4 linked regions of the Drosophila melanogaster genome follow. The protein of the gene in region 2 interacts with the protein of the main gene of each other region in a pairwise test. Each region holds a gene or a part of one and is shown on either strand. Other genes may lie near its edges.

Evidence for each region.
Region 1: the proteins of CG4328 (region 2) and CG15141 interact in a two-hybrid assay, tested with the Drosophila melanogaster proteins (one large-scale study listed by BioGRID).
Region 3: the proteins of CG4328 (region 2) and CG7856 interact in a two-hybrid assay, tested with the Drosophila melanogaster proteins (one large-scale study listed by BioGRID).
Region 4: the proteins of CG4328 (region 2) and CG2129 interact in a two-hybrid assay, tested with the Drosophila melanogaster proteins (one large-scale study listed by BioGRID).

Annotation. Positions count from the first base shown.
Region 1 is NT_033779.5:17,408,964-17,413,999, reverse strand, and holds CG15141 (uncharacterized protein), read right to left. Parts: upstream 3,360-5,036; 5' UTR 3,220-3,359; coding exon 2,382-3,219; intron 2,352-2,381; exon of another isoform or gene 2,315-2,351; coding exon of another isoform or gene 1,817-2,314; intron 1,761-1,816; coding exon of another isoform or gene 1,413-1,760; exon of another isoform or gene 1,367-1,412; intron 1,206-1,366; coding exon 829-1,205; 3' UTR 501-828; downstream 1-500. Other genes in the region: Rsph9 (radial spoke head protein 9), read left to right, coding at 1,413-1,760, 1,817-2,314; Polr2J (RNA polymerase II subunit J), read left to right, coding at 3,696-3,748, 3,823-3,912, 3,970-4,144, 4,207-4,242; CLIP-190 (cytoplasmic linker protein 190), read right to left, coding at 4,595-4,641, 4,701-4,909, 4,977-5,036.
Region 2 is NT_037436.4:12,290,440-12,297,952, forward strand, and holds CG4328 (uncharacterized protein), read right to left. Parts: upstream 5,685-7,513; 5' UTR 5,432-5,684; coding exon 5,395-5,431; intron 2,529-5,394; coding exon 1,811-2,528; intron 1,659-1,810; coding exon 1,444-1,658; intron 1,388-1,443; coding exon 1,200-1,387; intron 1,132-1,199; coding exon 861-1,131; intron 803-860; coding exon 597-802; 3' UTR 517-596; downstream 1-516.
Region 3 is NT_033778.4:6,056,848-6,061,541, reverse strand, and holds CG7856 (uncharacterized protein), read left to right. Parts: upstream 1-1,983; 5' UTR 1,984-2,106; coding exon 2,107-4,158; 3' UTR 4,159-4,185; downstream 4,186-4,694.
Region 4 is NC_004354.4:8,143,969-8,148,360, forward strand, and holds CG2129 (uncharacterized protein), read left to right. Parts: upstream 1-1,870; 5' UTR 1,871-1,980; coding exon 1,981-3,378; 3' UTR 3,379-3,887; downstream 3,888-4,392. Other genes in the region: alpha-PheRS (Phenylalanyl-tRNA synthetase, alpha-subunit), read right to left, coding at 31-1,527; CG15336 (uncharacterized protein), read left to right, coding at 4,047-4,392.

The sequences.
Region 1 (5,036 bases), on a different chromosome or scaffold from region 2:
ATAGCATTCCGCCGTTTCAAATCGGACAGAGGAATAACCATATGTATCTGCCGGAGAATTCAAACTTTCCGGTAAACGGCTGTAGTCCTACCCATTTCAGTGGTGGCTCTATGACACCAATCAATAATAACAACAATGTACTAATTAATAACAATAACAATGACTTTTTAAGTCAGAAAATGAGTGCCATAAGCATACCGCCACAAGGAAATTTTGGCATTAAACAGGTATATCAACAGACTCAGCAGTTCCTGCCGCAATTGCAGCCAGAGTCCATTCCATATCTGGCCCAATCCCATCCAGAACAGTCGCAGTACCAACAGCAACAGCAGCCACAGGAGCAGCAACCTCCAGCAGATGAACCCACCCAATCGTTTAGTGATCTAATTTCCAGCAGCATAGGCATGGCGCCCATTGACACCAGCGAACTTATCCAGGACATTGAGGCAGAACTCAATAGCTTGGGAATTCAGCCATTCAAATGAACAACAAACTTTGCTAAATACTAGTGTACATATATTTCATAAAATATATCGGAAATTAACCAATTAGAGCTACATGTAAAAAGGTCTCAATCCAAAATGAACTTCAACACAAAACCTGTCTTATATAATTCTATTTTACCGCAATGTACATAAATTTAATGAGGGAAATGCGAATCTCATTGCCCGATGCCTTGTTACGACTTTTCGTTATTGACAAAAGTGAATTGAAAATGATTATTGTTTAAATAAAATATAACTTTAGAATTTACATGATGTATGTATGTATGTTTCGCTTTCATGGGGGAATGTGGGTAATACTAGAGTAATATAGAGTGCTAACTGTTTAGCGACAGAAATAGGGCTGACCCAGGTTGGCATTGTTCTCATTGCGCATGCCGGCAAAGAACCGATTGATATCCTCCTCGGTCACTACCTTCTTGCTGGCGGCGAATGCCTGCAGGTATTCCTTTAGCTTGTCCTTCATGCGATTGTATTCGGTAATCGCATCGATTTGCTGTGTCCGGTCAATGGAGGCCAGTGCCCGGATTCCTTGCTCATAACTGGAATTCTCTTCAGCCCGCTTCATGCCGCGCTCCTCGTACGTCTTAGCCGAATCCTCGACATCCAGCAGAAACTCCACGGCAAGTTCCTTGTAAAGCGACAGGCATTCGGAGCACTGACAGAGTGATTTTCGCCAGTCATTTGTCCAGAAAGCAGCTCCTTGAAAGAGAAAGGGTAGAGATGAATAAATGGGGGAAATTGGCAGTTCAAAGAGTTTGTGCTGATTTATGCATGCCATGTAATTAAAAATCCATTCCGCTAACATATTTTTTTTTACGGTTCTGAGTTTTCTTTCAAATACTCTCAGCACTTAAATCCATATTTTATTTCAACACTTCACATATAAATTGCTAAGATACTTTCGTCATGAATTTGGAGTTCTTCACCGAGGGCCTCGACTGCCTAATGTACTGCGGCATGAAGCTGTCGCCGGAGCAGCGCATCTTGATTGAAAACTCGCTGATCGCTTTACAAAATGACAATCGTTTTACGGGCATGTATCTTTGGGGTCGCATTACGGCCACCAAGAACGATTACTACATTGCCTTTGGCTACACTAATGACTGTCTCAAGGATCGCAAGTATTTCTACAGTCTGGACCAGTTCCAATGGCAGTTGCTGCCGTTCGTACAGAGCCCCAAGATATTTCAGGCGACTATATTGGCAAGGGAGCCATTTATAGGAGATCCCAGCCTGATGACCTACGTTAAGCTGGTGAGTTGATAGTACGTAAATGTGGTGGTGGTTTTTCTGATATTGTACGCACACAGGACCCCACTTTTGACATCGTAGGCAATCAGGTGGCTGGTATCAGCCGCCCTGAAGTGGTCAAGCTTAAGGAGGAGGAACGGCTGGCAGCCATTGTGTTTATTATAACAGAGGAGTGTGCCATTTGCCCACGCGGAGCCTTTTACAAGATGACCGATGGTCGTGTTATACCCAACCAGATGTTTCGTGGACTGAATGACTTGCAGATCGACAACCAATCATATTACCAGCTCTATCGCCTGCCCCGCAATGATCTCAAAGTCAATTTGGCCAAGAGGAGCGACTATAACTATGCTATTGACTTTCTGGACACCATTGACTGCGTAATACCACTGTGTCAGGCTTTTGCCCTGAATATGCAACGGAACGAGGGTTTGGTAATAATCAAGTCGTGCCTTTGGTTGGGCATGACATTCTTTCACAAAATCAACTCCCACAAGCATGGTTTCCTTTACTTGGGCGATGGCAAGAAGAACTTTGACTTGCTTTTCATGTATTAAGGTTGCTTTTGCATAAATATGTTTTTTTTTTGAGCATACGCATGTATATCTATATTAATTTACTCACCCTGATGCTCCTTGGTTGGTTTGGGCCGACGACAATCGTCCAGTTTGGCGCGCTTCTGGCTGGGTTCGCCTTCGTCTGGCTGAGATTCACCTTCAGGAACTTTCATGATATCGCAGATGCTGCGGTCCAACTCGTTCTTCAGCTGGCTATCGTCAGCCTCCGGCTTGTCCTCCTTCGCATCTTCTAGCACAGGCTGCAGGGCTAATCCAGTGTAGTCCTTTAGGAAGGGTTTGGCATCCATGCAGCCATCGCAAATCATTTCGCTGCAGACATCCAGCCACTTGTCGCTGGCGCCGGGCGCTTTCATGTGCGGCAAGTGGAACCAGTCCTCGCAGATGGCGCACTGCAGCATAACCTCCTCAACGGTGCGATCGGGATCGGGATAGGGTCGCTTGCACTTGCAGTACAGCCCCTGGAAGTTCTGGTTATACAGATTGCCCACGTTACGTGGTTGAACGCCCTCGACTTGTGGGTTCAGGGAGCACTTGCCCAGACGCTGGGTGGGACAATCGCAGCGGAAATTCCGCTTAGTATAGAGCTCCACCAGTTCGTGGTGCTCGTGACAGCGATAGGAGCAGGCCAAGCAGACTCCTGCGGCCTTGTCCAGATCCTCGCGCGCCTCGGGGCAACAAGTGAGGCACGAGTACAGAGCCTGTCGGCCGATGGGGCCCTTGGCGTAAGTGCACGACTTCTCATCGGAGGCGCCCAGCACTGCGGCGTACTCGTCCTCCAGCTCCTTTTCCTGTTCCAGGACATCTAGCATCGTAATGGTCGACTGCTCCAGCGGATTGGACTCCTCAACCTCGTGGACACCATCTGTGGCATTCGACTCGCTCATGTCAGCTGTTTAATAATGTATTTTTAGCTTGGCTTCGTGTCAGTTTCTCGAAAGTGGCGGAATGCGCAGCGTTTGGCGCGATTGGATAAAAATTTGCAAATAATTCAACCACCGAAACCTAGGGATGGCCCACAACAGCTTGTCTATGCGATAGGTATCGGCTGCCAGTGTTGGTTGCAAGAAGTGATTAAGCTATTTATTTAATGACCAAAAAACATAAGCAAATTAAATTATTTTCAAATTCAAAGTACAAGTTTTATTTTATTTAATAGATGCTCACATTAAAAATGATTTATAAAATACTAAAATAAATTAGCTAGGCGTTCTAGCTACTTTTTGCTAGATATAGCTACTTTAGCTTGTGTTGCACTTGGGCGTTAGTCAACACTGTACCGGAGAATTTTGCTGAGCGTGCTGCTGATTTTAATAAACAATTTATAAGTTTTGCAGTAACTAACGAAAAGTAAGACATCAAAATGAACGCACCACCTACCTTTGAGTCATTTCTGCTCTATGAAGGCGAGAAAAAGTGAGTAAAGAAAACAGACTACTCCGAATGACCACCTTTAACCCGTTTTTATGTTTGTTATGGCGCGGCTGCAGAATCATCAAGGAACTGGACACCAAAGTGACCAATGCGGCTATATTCACCATAAACAAAGAGGATCACACGCTGGGCAACATGATCCGCAAGTATGTTGGCCAACAAGCCCGTCTGATTACACATTAAATTTGCATTCTTGCCTGCAGCCAACTGCTGAAGGATCCCAATGTTCTGTTTGCCGGCTACAAGGTTCCGCATCCTCTGGAGCACAAGTTCGTCATCCGCATCCAGACTACGGCCGATTATTCTCCGCAGGAAGCATTCATGAACGCCATAACCGATCTTCTAGCAGAATTATCTCTCTTCGAAGAGCGTTTCAAAGTATTACCTGCACAAAACGTCCTCGAAACATTTCTTTAATATCCATGTTTCTCTGATTTCAGGACGCCATCAAGGAGAAGAAGGAGGGCGGCGATTAATCATATAATTACCAATTAATTCCTTAGTCTTATGAAAACCCAATAAAAGCTTCTTCTTCCACGTTCTTGATTTTATTTTTTACACTATGTTTACACTCAAAAATTACGAAAACAACCGATTGTGTGTTTGCCACGAATCGCATTCAATAAATAAAAACAATTTAAAATAGACTACTATCCATGGATGTGTGCATAACGCAAGATCACAATTTTAAGTAGAGAAATTTCTTTGTGTGATTGAGTGAAGCTCTGCTGAGGTAAAAGTATCTCATCTGATAGATCTCGCAATATGGTTATGCTATAGAGTCTAAAACAAAGTAAAATGGAAATAATAGAATTTAACTAGAGCTAACTAATAGGTTTCATCATCGGCACATTCGCTCGTATCGTGGCCAAAAACTGTAATTGGGAAAAACATTGTTAAATGTCAGTAAAATTTGATATTTTATTTTACTCACCCTCGCAGGAATCACAGTATTTCCTGGGTGCCGGCAGCTTCCGCTCCTTCTCGTTGTTGTTGGACTCGGATGACGGTGTGGAGTAGTCTTGATCTTCGCTTCCCTGGATTGGACAATCCTCCGTATCGTGCTGATCAAACTCATCGCAGATGTCGCAGAAAAGTCTGGGAGCCGGTTTCCGCTTTGTCAGGGCATCGAAGGCATGAGGTCTTAAATATATTATATACATTTATGAACGAAAATGCTTCGACCGAGATGAAAAAGAATTTAACTCACTTGGTGAAATCCATTGGCAAGGTTTCAAGGGTCTGCACCTTTGCCTTGAGTGCATCATTC
Region 2 (7,513 bases):
TGTTAAAAAGCATTTTTTATAGTTTGGTTTTCTATGCCTTTGAAAGCTTAAGGATTTACCACCCAATTTGTCTTAGATTTTGGGTTTGGGACATTCCGATGCAGTTCTTCCGCTCAAGCAAAACGAAAGGCCAGGATGCTAGTTAAAAGTGCTGTCCTTGGGCGGCATTTGCAGCACATTCATGTCGACGCTATCAAACGGCTCGTCATCGTGGGGAGGATACGGTTCCGGATCCCTTCGTATCCGAGCCTTTGAACTACGCATGACGAATCGGCATTTTACGCCCATTCCGAGCCGAAAGGACGAATTCAGCAGGGTTGCGACTGCTGTGGCAAATGCTTTGTGCCTGTCAACCGAGCGGAACTAATTTCGAGACTGCACCTGCAGAGCCACCAACATGGGATGCACCAACCACCAACCCGGCCGGTGGGTGGATTGCGCAAGTGGTCCAGCTTCCAAGGGGGGTGGAAGGGCAGTAAATCCACTTATCCGGGTTCGGGGTGTTTAAGTTCGATTGCTAGCACATTAACATTCTTTTATTTTACAAGGTCTAATTTTGATTTGGGCTTAAAATTCGACGGCCTTCGCCGGGCGGACTAGTGATCCATGGAGTCCTTGACGCCGCATTCGCCGTAGGATTGCAGCTCCTCCGGCCGGAAGTAGGAGCTTTGCATACTATATAGTCGGTCGATCGGATTGATCATAGGCGTCTGGGCAAAGGGACCCATTAGTTGCTGAAAGGTGGCGTAGCTCAGACCTAGAATGGTGTTCAATATGGGCTCGCTGTTCTTGTTGCAGTTCTCTGTAAATTGTATTTTATATTCCTTGATACGTAAATATCCTTAAAGGGCATAACCCACCTTTATTGGTCTCCATACAGTTGAAGGGCACTTGCTCCTGTTCGTCCTTAATGGTGCATCGCATCCGGGTCAGTCCATCGGAGGTCGTCGAGTACGGCGATTCCAGCTGTGATTCGCTGTCGCTGTGCGCCTCGTCCTTGATTTTGGTGGCCAGACTGCTGTCCAGCGATTCCTGCGAGTCCTGCGAGTCACTAGCTCCTTTGCTGGGCGGCTCCTGCTTGGCCTTCTTCTGAATCTTTTTGACCTTGGCTCGCTGGTTCTGGAACCAAACCTACAAAATACGATATTGGTTTAATAGAATATGTAATGATTAAATTCCATTTAAACCTCTTTACGCACCTGCACAATTCTCAGGCTTAATCCAGTATCCTTGGCCAGATTCTCTCTCACTTTTCGACACGGTTTCGGTGAGACTTCGAAGGAGGCCTTAAAAGCTCGTCTTTGCTGCGTGTTTAGAATGGTTCTCGGTCGCTTGGGTCCTCTTCGTCCGTCTAATTTGGGCGGGAAAAGCTCATCGCCATAGAAATCTACATAGTTATATGGTTATCATTGGGAACCGATTTCGAATAGGGCCATTACCCACCGTATCCCTGTAGCATCTCCACCTCCTTCTCGTAGTCGAAGCGGCAGAAGAGCTGCCCCTGTTTGACCACATACTGCTCCCCCTTCTTCAGCAGAGCTCCACACACCACACAGGCGAAGCACTTTAGATGGAAGACGTTCTCGTGGCATCGCATCACCAGCTCATCGGCGGCGATTTTAAGGCCACAGCCAAGGCAATGATTGCGGATGTAGAGTCTGTGGAGCGAAAATATAAATATATATCATATCATTCAAATATTAAGCTGTACCATTTAATAAACACTACCATTTTAAAGTAAGTGCAACTCACACGGAGTTGATTGTTTTAAGCGCCCCCCGTTTGGCAGGGTTCAGTAATCAGGACTCACCTCTCGTAGTCGACGCGGCAGTAGAGTTTGCCCTCCCTCGCATAACAGGAGTGGACCAGGTGCAGCGAGCAGGCGGTGCACTTGAGGCAGCCCTCGTGGAAGGAGTTCTCCACCACGCGCATGATGTAGCGATCGCAAATGGGCTGGCAGCAGTGGGCGCACTGGCTCAGCTGCGGCGATGCCATGGCCAGGCCCAGTTCCATGCCCATGCCGGAATTGGAGGCCATTCCCAGAGGCGCTTGCGGTGTGTTGGATGCCGATGGAGGTGCTGCCGGCGTTGCAAAGCCGTCCATTCCATTGAGGCTGCACTCGCCCAAAGTGATGCGGTTGCAGTGTGTATGGTTGGGTGGTCCTGGACCATGTCCTGTTCCTGTTCCCATTCCGGTTCCTGTGCCCGGTCCCATGCCCATCGGTTGCTTGTTTATGGCCATGTTGCTGCTGCTGTTGGTGCTGCTACTGCTGCTGCTGTTGCTGCTGTTGTGGTTACTGCAACTTCCGTTGACAGTTCTGCTGACTGACGCCATTTTGTCATTGTGGGCTACTCCGGCTTTGGTACTCGCACTCCTTCCGGCTGCCACCACCACCGATGTTGCTGCTGTCGTTGGTGTTGTTAACATGCGTTCATTTCCGTTCAACAGCAGCAGTTGATTGAGGCCCCCAGTTTGCGGCAGTTGGCCAGCACCCAGTTGCTGCTGTTGACATTTTATGTCCATCGGAACTATTTTGGTTTTGCGGTCGTGTCGTTGGTCCAGATCAGCCCACCGCCCCAAAGGAACATGCAAATGAGAAACATTTCAGTTATTTTTATTTTCAATGTGGCCAAGAGCGCCCTCAATTTACAACTATGGTTCGGTCATCAGGCATAAAAAGGGTTCCCGTTTTTGCGGGCAGGACCAATGTCCATCTGCCTCGCACTGTGACCATAACCGTTTCGAGTTGTAGTAAATTTGTGGTTTTGCAATTATTGAAATGACTTTTCCACCAACGGAAAGAGTGTGAGTAAATGTGCGAGTGTGAGTGCGACTGCACTCGAAATTCCCCGAAATGCCATGCGAAATGTGGCATGTAAAAAATACGACCAACGTGGCGTATGCGTAACCGATGCGTATGTGCGATTGTTTGGCTTGGTGGCAAAAAATTACTGTACATTTGCGGTGCTGACTGGTTGGCTTTTTGTGCCTTGTTGTCTCAATTTATGGCAAATTGTTGAAATTTCAACGTAATTTGTTTCGAGCTTCCAGCTTTTGTGCTCCTCTGTGTGTGTGTGACGTTCATTTTGTTTGGTTTTTCCCTTGTTTTCACTGGTGTGCGTTTCACATGCGTGTGTGTTTGTCATTCCGCATTTGAGTGATTTAAATGTGTGCGTAATTTCATTAAATGTTTTGCAAAAATAATATCTGGTATGCCAATTTATGCCAGAAATATGCCCAGAATGTTAAAGTATTCCAGCCATCGTTTACATTAACAATTTTTGCTACACCTCTTGCACTGATTGACGTGAATTGCTCTAGACCAGCTTGCACTCAGTTTGTTCTGCCAAATGACAAATAAATGCGAAAATAGTCGATTGCAGCTCTCAGTACATTTAATTGGACTGCATTTAATTGCCATTTGGATATAGAAAAACTATGCAGAAAAATAGCTGGGAAAATGGGAATCAAATAGTGTTTTGTCAACCAATTAAGCGATTTGTAAAATAGTCAGCAAATATTTTTGTGACTTCAGTACTCTAAATGAAATTCAATATAGTTTTTGGTTGATTTATACAAAACCACCGCAATATAAAACCTGCAGAAACAATTTAGCTTTGCTCTATCTAAAAACATTTAGAAATTAAGCTGAAAACTTGTTCTTTGAATTATTTTGTAACTTTTGGCATTAGCATTATATATATTTTTTTAAAGCATTTTTTGAGTTTTCACCTTTATATACAATTCTTTTTATATATTTAATAATGAATTAAACTTCATTTATGTGTAACAAAATATTGCTGACATGTGTGCTATGTTCGTTGGGTGTATTTTGGCTTTATAAACTTTTCAATATGCTACTTATTCATAGCAACTGAAGTCTCCAGCAGTGTTTAACCCAATTTCCAAGGTCCTGATCTCCCCATTCCCGATACCCATTAACTTGTGACACTTGGAACTGCGGGAAGCTATTTCCTAAGATGTGCAGCGGAATAATCCGCTCAACAACCACACCTGTTACACTTTTAGTGCTCTGTCATTGCCATTTGACATTTGAAAATATACCAACATGTTTGCCGGACATGTCGGAGAATAGAGCTCGAGGATTTTGGGACGACAAGTGTAAAGCCGACATTGATAGCACTTCCACTTGCCCACGCTCTAATTAGATTCTAATGTGCAGTGGAAATCGAGGGACGGGTTGCAAATGCCACCCCTTGCAGTGCTCATAACTATGTAGATTATAAACGAATTTCAATGAATCCGGGGGCTAACCGAGGGCATTTAGCTGGCGGATTTCCACCCTTACGGAAAATATGCTCGGGCTTAGCAAATAAGCATGAGGATGAGGCTGGAGGGGATCAGGATTTCGGTTACGGCGGCTGGCGGCTGGCTGCTGGCGGCATATGTTGGCAGTCGACGACAGTGAGTGGGTAAGCGGAAACCCTTGGAAATGCTTGCCAGGATGTCGGCTGCGCTGCCAGGATGCTGTGTGCTGCCTCCGAATCCGCTGTCAGTTGCCAGCAGTTCGCTCGGCAGCAACTGACAGCGCTTTATTTAATCGGATTTGAGTAGACAATAGAGTTATGGTGCCATTGCCGTTTTGTTGTGCCAGCAATCGCAGCGCAAATGCTTTGTTTTGTCCTAATCTCTGACAGAAGTCAAAATTTGCTTTGCTCTGGAAAATATGTTGTAATTTTCATTGGCTTTCAGCCAGTCGGATTCGAGTGGACGTGTGTGCAGTCGGTCATATGCATACTTGCCACTCTGGGTGCTAAATAGCATTCACTGAAGGCAAATTGAAGCAAAAGTGTTGAGATGCAATGTTTAAACTTGGGATTTGCTTTGTGCGAAGTAGAATTTAGCAAGAAAATGGCAAATTTTCACAAATAATTCATCTTTGGTTTCTAATAATTTCATGTGCAAAACTTATTTATGCTGCTATTAAGTTAGTATTTTTAAAACCAATTCAACTGAATAAAATTTGTATAAAATGTGCTGATCTCTTTGACTGTTATAAATCAAAATCACTAATGGCCAAAACGAAAATCCACTTTATACCTTTGAAAAGTGTGCAATTGTGATATCACAATTACCGATATAACACATGATACATGGTGGCTTATTCCTAATTCACTTATCTAAAGGTATTTGATTTGAGCTAATCACTTGATGCTAATATTTAAACTATGATTAAACTAGAGAAAAAGTGAATGAAATATATGCACTCTTCTACTTGAAGCTATTTACATACCATAAATTAATGAGCACTTTTTAACATAATTAATAAACTGATAGAAAAATGCCGACGGGATTGGGAATGTTGGGCTTGTAATGCCGTCGGTTATTGGAATAGATTCAGACTTCATATTCCTCGGGTTTGCCCATACTTACACATTCCGATCTGCATGGGATGGTGTTCGTCGATCATTTTGGAATCGTTCAGTTCGGGAATAGAAAAACTATATAATCACGTTCACAGACATTTATGAAATTTTCTCAGGGCTTTTCACGCGATTTTCCTACGTATCTTTGCACATTTTGTGAGCACAGCTTTCAGGACGCCTAAGGACACATTTGGGGACTCGAAATGCAGTTGGCAACTGTTGTTTTGGGGCGGCCAGTATCGGACTTCTGACCTGGCCCTGTTACGAAACGCGATGCTTGAATGATTACGGACCTCTGATGTTAATGAAATTTGTTAAAAATCATTTGCTCTTCTTTGGCCAAATGCACAAGCATCTGCTGCCGAGATAGGAAATTCTCTCCAACCCGAAGGAGAAGTGCCCACTGTTTGCCTTTGTGTGTGTGTGCGTGTGCGCCATTTTATGGCACATCCTGTGCTCCCATATCCTTTTTGGCTCCATCCCCGTGCAAGCCATTGAGAGCCAGCCATTTGCCTTTCCCCAGCTTCCGTGAGATTCGCCAGCTTTTGGCGCATGCGTCGATCGGAACCCCCATATCATACCATCTCATCTCATCTCATGCGTTTTAATGCCGATTTTGAATCCGGGTGGCGCTTCTGAGTTGTTTTGGCTTTTTGTGTTTTGCTGGTTTTGTTGTTGTTGTTGTTGTTTGATTTTTCATTTTGCACTTTTGACTTTTGTCTTTGTCTTTGCTCGTGGGCACATTTATTTGTTTTGTTGTACGTACGTATTTTGTATTGACAAAAGGATGTTTGGCTCGGCGATTTCTTGCTTGCTTTGTCGCCTCAGCAACAACATCCCCGCCCCCCCAAAAAAAAACAGGACTCTCCCTCAATGGCTGGAATTTTGTTGTCCTTCTTTTCTTATTTTTATTTTTACCGTGTGTGTGTGTGTTTGTGAGCTGGCTAGGATTTTATTCCCTTTTCCCGCAGTGGCTTGTACATTTTAAATTTATTGATTTTCGAACGCTATAAAAAGGACTAAGCTTAAAGACCAGTCCCGCTGCTTTAATTAAGGTTTGCGGCCCAGTGTCCAGGAGAATTTTGCTCAAAGAGCTAGCTGTTAATGAGGGTGGCCGGTGGCCCTTTAAACCTGGCCAAAATGAATTTTCTGGTCTATTAAACCGGGGCGCCAAAAACTTTAATGTCTAAGCACTTTGCCGGCTGACTGTATGTCTAGCTTCCAGTTCAGAGTTCCCAGTACCCAGTTGCCGAGATGAGGACTTGTCTGGTCGAAACTCCTGGCTCTTGGCCTCTTTTCCGACGAAAATTCCCAGAAAAGTTTCGTAAACGCGAACGTGTTACTCACAATTAGTGTGCGGGCGAACCATTTAACTGGCAACCAACCAGCCATCTTTCGCTTTCCCAGCCCACTTTTCCCAACTCCGACGATGATAATAGTTATGTGCGGTAATCTTTGCGATTCATAATCAGTACACGGAGCACGGGGATGTGCAGGGAATTTAAAGGACAATGGAGCTACATTAAATGCTTGATCCTGGGGGATTTTGCGATGGGTACTTCTTTTGTTGTGCTTCTTTTATATCAGGTAGGAAACATGTAATTTCTTAATAAAGGAGTGACAATAAATGTTGGCATTTGTTTAACTAAGTGCCAAAAACAATTGCTAAGTAATGCAAGATTTAAAAATACATTTTTATAAAAAATTGTAAGATCATTTAAACTGTATTGTGTAATTCATAATAATTTATTTTGTAATTATTAATAATTGTTATTTTGTTTAATTTGTTCATTTACTAACTGTTAACCTTATATATTTTTAGTTGGCACCTTAAACGATATCTATGTGTATTATGTTAAATCTTATAAATAATATTTATTGAACAATATTCTAAGAAATCTATATTTGTAGCTGATGATGATGAGTAATTGTTGCAGTTCTGTTGTGATGTTGTGATTTTGAAATTTTCATATACATTTCTCTCTCCTCCCTTCAGCTTCATCTCGCAAAGGCTTCCAAACTTTTGGCACTTTGTCTACGCAGAGCCTAGACATGGAAACTCAAGGGCGGCGGTTTTGGAGGCACCACCGCCTCCATCCCTGCATCCATCCATCTATTCCTCCATC
Region 3 (4,694 bases), on a different chromosome or scaffold from region 2:
TGCACCATATATTGCAGAGGGTACTCTGTCAGAAGTTTACAACGTAGTAAATTGGAAACATATAAATCATATAACATATAATGTTATGATTATACACATATCGTCCCATGTTCCATTTTCCGTCCATATGAACGCTGTGATCTCGGGATAAAAAAAGCTAGAAAGTTATGATTTAGCCAGCAGGACCATTCCTACTGTCTGAGTAACGGATATCTGATAGTCGAGGAAGTCGACTACAGCGTTCTCTCTTGCTTTAAATACACATATTTGTGTTTATTGCAAGGGTATCTAAGCTTCGACTTATCGGCGCCATCTTCTTTTCAGGTTGTGTATTGCGTTTTATCCGTGGCCTTGCCGATGCCAATCTCTTTTGCCGAGGCATGGGTAATTTTCGGCAAATAGAACTCTTGCCCAGGCTCAAAAGTCTTAACACATGTCTTGGGGAGAATTGGAGTAGAAAAATTGTAACACATGGTTAAGCACATTTAATCGTTGGGGTCTTAACCTTTTAATTTTATCACCCGCTCAACTTAACATATTTAAAAGGGTTAGGTTTTGAAAGATCAACTGTTTTGGCTTAAAGGTAAAATCTGCTCTTTTCTTGACTTATTCATCTTGTCCACTATAAATGCACTTCGCGAGTCAACTAAAAAAAGAGTCCGAAAACGTCAAATAGCTGCTGGCAACAACAAAGAATATGTCAGTCTTTTTTCTAAATCAGGAAACTTTTTCTTTCCTGTATCAAACTTTTGGATAGGTTTTTCACGAGCGAAAGCGGAAAAGTTAAATTTTCCGCTTAGTCCTAGCCGTAGACAAGCCATTTCATTTAAGAGGCCATCCCATGGGATCACTGGGCAGGCAACAGCCATCAACAAGAGAAATGATTAAACTTGACTGACCAGACACGCGCCTTAATGTCGTCAATTGACCTCAATCAATTATACACAATATTTTTTATTTGACCTTCGTTTATTCCATTAGAGTTTTTTTTATTTGTATTAAAATTCGGCGATGTGACTGTAAAACGCATCTGAGGCAGCCATTTGGCCTAGGAATAACATTTTTTCATGATTTAGCGTTGTTGTACGAGCTGAATTTGGTATGTGCTAGATAAAAACCAGCCGTTAAGCAATTTCAAATGTCGGGACACGGGTGAAATAAGCATTTGCCACCCGCAGTCAGTTCCGAGCAGGGGATGTCTTGGATGCCCCGTTGCGAGCAACCGCTTAGCAAAAGGCAAAGCCAGATATTATATGTTATCACCAGCGATGTATTACTGCTTCTACAGCACAGTGACTCAATATACAAATAAAGGTGAGAAAAAAATGCGATTCTCCTTTTTTTGACTTGTGCAAGAGCTTTTGATTTTGGAAACGAAACGTAGCCCAGAGAGACAGGGTATGGCGTTCCGTTGTATTTCGTGTTAGATAAATCATAAAGCAAAAATAATTTAATACACTTGCGTGCCCTGGTTGTAGCTCTGGCGACGAGGCGTATGTGCAATGCGGCGTGTCGGTTAATCATTTGCTTCTTTTATGAGCAGCCAAGCCGAATAATAAGCCTCAAAGAAAAGCGAGCTTAAAGGTGCACCTCAAACTCTGTTAAATTCACGGCCTATCACGACGGCACGACCCAACGCTCAACGCCAACTCATTATTTCCCCTGCAGCTCTAATTAGAGTCAAATATAACTAGGGGGCCTTGAGGACCCCGTACGCTAGCCTTGGCCATATTTAATGCGAGCTGAAAGGTCCGCGAGTTATGCAAATTTGCCCCGCCCACCGAATGCTCCGAACATTGACAAAATTATGCGCAATCGCGGGCCAGTCTCTCGGCTACCAACTTCCGGCGACAAAGTCAAGTCATGGATGGACATCCTGACCTCGCCCGCGGGTCCAGCCATTAGTCGTCATTAAAGATGATTGAATGCGAGCCCCGCTTTTGCATTGTATAAAAGGGGCACACTCCTGGTGACAACAGGGTAGGTAAAGTTGCCTTGGCGTCAGTTGGCAGTTTGGGAAAAGCCTACACACTTAATATTTCGATAGATACACTTATTTCGCAATCGTAGAAGATACCACAAATCTCTCTTCCGTAAATTATAAGTATGTCCAAGAGGGTGAGCATCATGTTGCCCGACGAAATACCTGCGGCTCCGTCAGGCAGCAGGAGGAACCCGATGCCCAGCCGCACACTCAAAAGTTCCATTAAAAGTGGATCAAGCGCTCGGACGCAACCCGCACCGCCAGTGTTCGTGGTTGTCAACCCGGAGAGCAGCCAAAGCTCGCTTACCTCGGGTCAGCGGAACAACACCAGCACGACCAGCAACAGTTCCCTTAACCAACGAAATAAGGAGCACTCCGCGGCGAGGTTGTCAGTAACCGAAGATACGGCAGCCCTGGACAGCAGTGCCTTGCTTCAAGGTGGATCCTCAAACTCTCGTGATACAGTTAACTTCGATTCGACCTCCACCTCGATCAGGATGTTCCTTAAGAACACAGTGGGCCTTGTCAGGGCAGGAGAGTCCTTCACATCTGTAAAACATCTCTTTCACAAGTTCATCAAACGCAGCGGTTCTGTGCCAAATTCCAAGCGTTCGTTGACATCCTCCTGCTCCCAGGCGGTAGATGAGGAAAATCCCTATATGAGCAAGTCCAATGATACGCTTCTGACGGACTCGCCCACCCGCACTACTGTGCCCAGCACCTCCCAGATAACGCCCACCTCACATTTCTCCAACTGCTCATTCAATAACACGAACTACGACCTTTCCAACCTCCTCTCTGACATCACCCCTTTGACTGGCTACACGCCAGTGGGTCTCACTGAGGAGGCTGACTACCGAACAGACACTTCCGCAAACACCGCATTGAACAGTGTGACATGCAATTTGGCGAGCTCGTCGGAGAATCCTTTGGGAAGCGGATTCGACAACAGTCCCTCGAAGATTTCTACCGATCAGGAGAAGATAGCGGACACACAAGGACGTCCTACTTCCAGAAATCGCTTTAGCAGCAAATCTTTTCGCCAGAAACTTAAGACCTCGCGCTCTAGTTCACCCAGAAAGTCGCCCAAGATGTCACCTCGAAATAAGCAGTCAGCACCTGCAATGGAACCCATATTTGCAATGGTTAGTTCATCTGGGCCTAACTCTTCTGAGGGATCACGGCGATCGAGCAAATCGAGCCTGAGGCGGAAGCAAAGTCCATTACCCAACGTAACTGCCAAAATCTCGGCCACCTCTAATTCAAGAGCGGACTTGGCTAAAGCGCCCAAGTCCAGGAAAGAAACCACCGCCCGATCAAACCTATCAAGAAAGAGCTACCGCCGGAGTTCACCCAGAAGCCGAAGTCGAGGTTCTCGGGCAAACGCCTTAGAGAGCCCCCTTCAAAAGAGCGAGGACACCCCCGACAATGTAGAGTACGCCTTCGCTCTGGTCAGCCCTGAGGAGGCGGGGAACAGTCAGCCTGAAGAAAGTAGTGCCGGTGTCGAGGATGCCTCCTCCAAGTGCGAGACATACCAAAAGGATTGCAATTGCCACCATTGCCAGGACATGCGTCGGGCGGTCAAGAGGTCCGACTTTTTCAAATCTCCCGAGGGACAGAAGCGGCTAGAGGCGAAGCTACTGGCCAAGAACTTCTTCATGGACCTATGCGTAGCGTCAGAAGTGCGCCGACAGGCTCAGTCCGATCTGCATGGAAAACGACGTCCTCCATCAGCGCGTCTCAGTTACCCGGTGAGCATCTGTGGAGCGTGCAGGCTGAGCGGAGGCTCGCTGTCGTTGCATTGGATCACCCATGACCTTGACAGCGTAGACCACTTCGACGTTTTTGTGGACAACGTGCCAAACCGTAGTGTCTACAACCGGCAGGCCACCTCCACCGTGCTCGTCGACGTGAACACCACCGAGACGCACACGCTGCGCCTACGAGCGGTGCCGGAGCGTGGGAGCCGTGGTCAGGATTCCTCGGTGGACAAATTCATGTCGGAGGTGGCGGCCGGGCATATGCGTCACGTCAGGCAGGGCCAGCTCTTCGCCACGTGCTTCGCGCACCTGGACGCCCGGCCGCAACAGCGTTCACTGGTGGATTTCTGGACGGACAGCGAGTTCTTGTACATGCCCACCCGCGAAACTCTTACGCCTTCAAAGGCTCGCTGACTGGCGAAAATAAACTGATTTATGAGCAGCAGTCCGTTTTGGGAGTGGATATGCGGCAGGAACAGCTGCGTGGGTGAAAATTGATTAGGCTAATTTAGAAGTGATGACCAATCGGCGCACTAAACTCTCAGTGCAAAAGCAGTGGCCCGGCTCCCACCTGCACCACGTTTTGCGAGATATTCAAAACGAATCGTGGGCCTGGTGCGGCCATCAGTCAACGAGACATGGGCGCTAAGCATCCCGCGCGTCTTTATCAGTGGCTTGCAGGCAGGCTGGCTTGGCGTGGGGGGACTGGTACTGACGAAGGCGTTTCGCGCTGATCTGTCAGAGATTTTGGGCCGCAAAGTGGCATGATTAATTATTTGGCAAATATTTGGATTCCGCGCTCTCAGCTCAGCTGGCTTCACCATGGAAATAAGGAAAACCAAAAATATGCGGACTGGCACTTTCATAGAGGAAAGAACGGGCGAGAAACCCAAACCGTTCAGTATTTTAATTAATTTTCACTTTCGTTGGGGACTAGTGAGCATTCCATC
Region 4 (4,392 bases), on a different chromosome or scaffold from region 2:
GATCGCAGGTCCTATTGATTTTTTAAGGTATTAAGCATGATCCAGCCGGCAGATGGGGCCCTCCTCCACCATCTTTAGATCCACTTTGGGTCCGACCAAATCGCGAATGTTGTTGATGCCGTACTTGATCATGGTGGGTCGCTCCAGCGACAGACCCCAGGCGATTACATTCACGTTCTCCGGCAGTCCCATGGGCAGCAGCATCTCCGGCCGGAAGACGCCCGAGTTGCCCACCTCGATCCACTTGGCCAGGCCGGGGTGATAGCAGAAGATCTCCATGCTGGGCTCGGTGTACGGATTGTACGCCGGCTTGAATTCAAGCTGCGTGATGCCCAGCTTTCTGAAGAACTCGTACAGCGTGCCAATGAGATCGCCCAGCGTCAGACCAACATCTGCAATCACGCCCTCCACCTGATGGAACTCCGCCAGATGTGTGGCGTCCAGTGTTTCGTTGCGGAACACCTTGTCGATGCTGAAGTACTTGGCTGCTTTGAAGCCGCCCTCCTGGTTGGCCAGCTTGTACAGCATCCTCGCACTCACGGCCGTCGTATGCGTGCGCAGTAGATTCTTCTGCGCCTCCTCCAGCTTCCAGTCGTAGCCGTAACCCTTCGATCCATAGCCACCCACAGAGTGCACCTTCTTCACGCGCTCCAGATAGTCCTGCGGAAACTTGTGGCTTTTGGCCGGATGATTCACGAAGAAGGTGTCGTGGGCATCGCGAGCTGGATGCTGTTGCGGCTGATAGAGCGCATCGAAGTTCCAGAATGACGATTCCACATAGTTGTTCGTAGGCATCTCTGAGAAGCCCATCTCGAGGAATATCTGCCGGAACTCAGTGCGCACTTTGAGCAAGGGATGGAGATGTCCACGCGTTGGTGGTGCACCCAACGCATCAAAGTTATAGGCCTTGAACTTGAGCTGGTCCCACAATCCATTTGCGAGCATTTCCACCGTGAGATCCGTCTCCAACTTGGTGAGAGTGGTGGCAAATTCAGGGCCGCGTGCCAGCACGAAGCTCTTGGTGGTCGTTTCCTGGAGGAGCTTGCGTTTCTTGAAGTCGGCCACCTCCTTGGCAGGCAGCTGGTCACCCTTTCCCAGCGCCACCTGCTGCAGTTGATTGCGCACCACATCCGTAATGGTGTCCACCTTGCGGCGCACCAGCGGCGGCGTGACGCTCTTGTCCACCAAAATCCAGCCGTGCGACATGGCTTTGCTAAAGCCCACTTTGGCATTTGCGCCACCGGCTGCCATTAGAGCCGCCTGGGCGATTCCCTCCGGCGGAACTAGGTCGTAGACCAGTGCCTCATGACTGCCATTCTCCACGACGGCGCGACCCTCGTCTGTGAGGCCCAAACTCTTGTGGGTGACCGTTTCCGCGGTGACTAGTTCGCCATGCGCCTGTATGCTCTTCAATGAGCCCACAATCTTCTGGTGATCCTCGGCAAAGAGTGCGGCCAGGTCCAGTGTGTCCGCCTTGTCGGTGGTCTCCAAATGCTGGAGAATGCGCTCCGTGAGATCGGGATGCATAGCTGGCGGTTCAATGGTTGTATCTTTCAAGGAAATTCGGAATTTCAATACCGGAATCTCGTGTTGCCACAACGCAGCCTATCGGAGCTATCGTTCTTCGATAACTGCGTCTATCGTTCGAAACGACGACGGTGGCTAAAAAATAGCCAATAAGCTTAAAATAGCTATAATTATATCTAGATATTGGAAATTTGTATAAATATTTCAGCGAATAGTAAGATATGATACTTTTGTCACTAACATTTCAAAAGTAAATGAAATAATAATAAAGATGTCTCATATAAAGAACTGGTTTCAACTCGGTTTATTTTTCCGCTTACCATCACAGTGGCACCTCCAATAAAAACAGCTGTTGACGCCAAGACTAAAAGTTTGCGTTCCAATTAGAACGGCGAATATATTCGAAAAAAGGAGCAAATCCTGGGGAGCAACGGCCAGGTGGGAGCCGCAATCATGCTCAAGTCCCTCAAGCCGGACACGTACGCCGGAATGGCGAACGCCAAGTGCGGCGAGATCTACTTCCAGAGCCTGCACAGCTTCCGCATCGACTGTGCGTTCTGCGAGATGAAGAGCTTTGTGTTCGGAGACTTCCTGCTCCACGTCCAGAACATTCACTTCGAGAACGGCCTGCTGAAGACGGAGGCAACGGACGCCGGTGCGAATCTCAAGCAGGAGCGGGATCGTGAGCGGGAGCCTAACTCGCCGGTGCCCATTGTGGCGCAGGTGAATCCATTTGCCTGGTACGAGATTGGTGGCGATCACAACGAGGACAGCGACGATGAGCGCGTTGTCCTGGAAAAGCAGGATGAGGACGAAGATGAGCGGCCAGGCAGAAGCATAATCAAGTGGCAGGACCATCAGTCGCTGACCAGCGAATCTCTACGTCAAGTCCGAGCCCTCAAGGTGGACTACAAGGAGGAAGACTCCGAGCAGGAGGAGTGCGGCATGGAGCTGGATCTGGACAGCGAAGGCAGGCACTCTGCCAAGATTCCGCACTCGTGTCCGCACTGCACAAAAGTTTACCAGAGCCGCAAGGTCCTCGAACGCCACATAATGCGCCAGCACAAAGACACTCTCTCGCCGGATGTGGACAGCGAGGACGCGGACTACGAGCCGCCCAAGGATGCGCCCGTCAAGTCCGCTGCCCAGGAGTACAAGTGCGAGCACTGCGGCAAGATCTACCATGGCAAATACAGTCTGCGTCAGCATTTAAAGCGGGATCATGACAACGGCGAGGAAGGAGGCTCCGCCATCTTCACCTGCCTGGAATGCGAGGCCCAATTGCCGCGCCTGCGCCTGCTGGACGAGCACATGGTGCAGGCGCATGGCGGCGCTGCCTGTGTGGTTTGCGGGCGGCGCTACAAGACGCGACACGAACTGAAACGCCACCAGCTCAAGCACACCAGCGAACGGAACGTGCCCTGCCCGCATCCCGGCTGCGGCAAGCGCTTCTTCACCATCCGTCATATGCGCAATCACGGCAAGGTGCACACGGAGCAAAAGAACTTCGTCTGCGAGAGCTGCGGCTACAGCTGCCGGAACAAGGAGACGCTGCGCGTCCACATCAGGAGCCACACGGGCGAACGGCCGTTCGGGTGTCAAGTGTGCGACAAAAGATTCCCCTCCCATTCCGGCCTGCGAGAGCACATGGCCATGCATTCCACGGAGCGACCGCATGTGTGCAGCGTTTGCGGTGCGACCTTCTCCCGACAGAAAGGCCTCTACCACCACAAGTTCCTGCACGCGGACACCAAGCAGTTCGTGTGCAAGCTGTGCGGGAATGCCTATGCCCAGGCCGCCGGTCTCGCTGGACATATGCGCAAGCACCGGAACGACGAGCTCAACGGATAGGATCCGGATCACCGAGGTCGTAGTCTAAGTTGTACGTTTTGTATCTTCCAATTCCGACGTTTAAGTTCAGGAACTCAGGCATAGGCTATATATAGGATTACCATAGAAATCAATGGTTTTTTGCATTGCTCCGGCATGGAGCGGGTATCATGTGACTCTTCGGTCCTCGTTTCACGGGTTTCCATCGAATTTATTTGACACGCACTGTAAATAATATCCCTAGTTTTAGATAAACTGAAAGTTTGTTAATCTGTTTCGAGTGAACTTAGTTTGAGGCAAATTTAATTGGCTCGATTGTAAGTACTAAGACTAAACTACATTTCCATGAATTTTCTAAACTACCAACTCAAATAATAACTAAACTTTGTTAAGGTTTAAACTATACATTAAGCACACAATGCTTCCAAGAACCAAATCGAACGCCGTAATCTCGGCAACCGGATGTGGCTAGTATTCGAATGGTTAACTTTTTTGTATTGATAAATATACATAACATGAATTTGATTCGCAAAAGAGAGCCCGCGTTTAAAATTAGCCAAGCGATTTGGTACCTTTGACAGCAATTAATCGGTCGACTGCTGCTAAAGCGGCCAAATGCCAAGATGGTATTGGATGGGGTGCGTCTAACAATAGTGCCGACGATTAGATTTGGCACACGCGGACCGACCATGTCGGCGGAACGTCCAGCTGCCAGCTCCGATAATCGGCGACTTATGTGCGAGTTCTGCGGCTATCGGACGCGCATCTATTGGAATCTGCAGATCCATCGTCGGCGACACACCGGCGAAATGCCCTTCAGTTGCCAGCAATGCCAGGCGCGTTTCCCGGCCAGCTATCAGCTGAAAAGCCACTTGGAGCGGCACTTGGACGCCGGCGAGCGACGCCAGCGGCACATTTGCACCGACTGCAACGTGGGTTTCTCCAGTTCGCGGGCCCTGTACCATCACCGGACGCTCCACGAGGATGGGAAGCGCTTCAAGTGCTCCCAGTGCGACAAGTCGTTCGCTCAGGCGG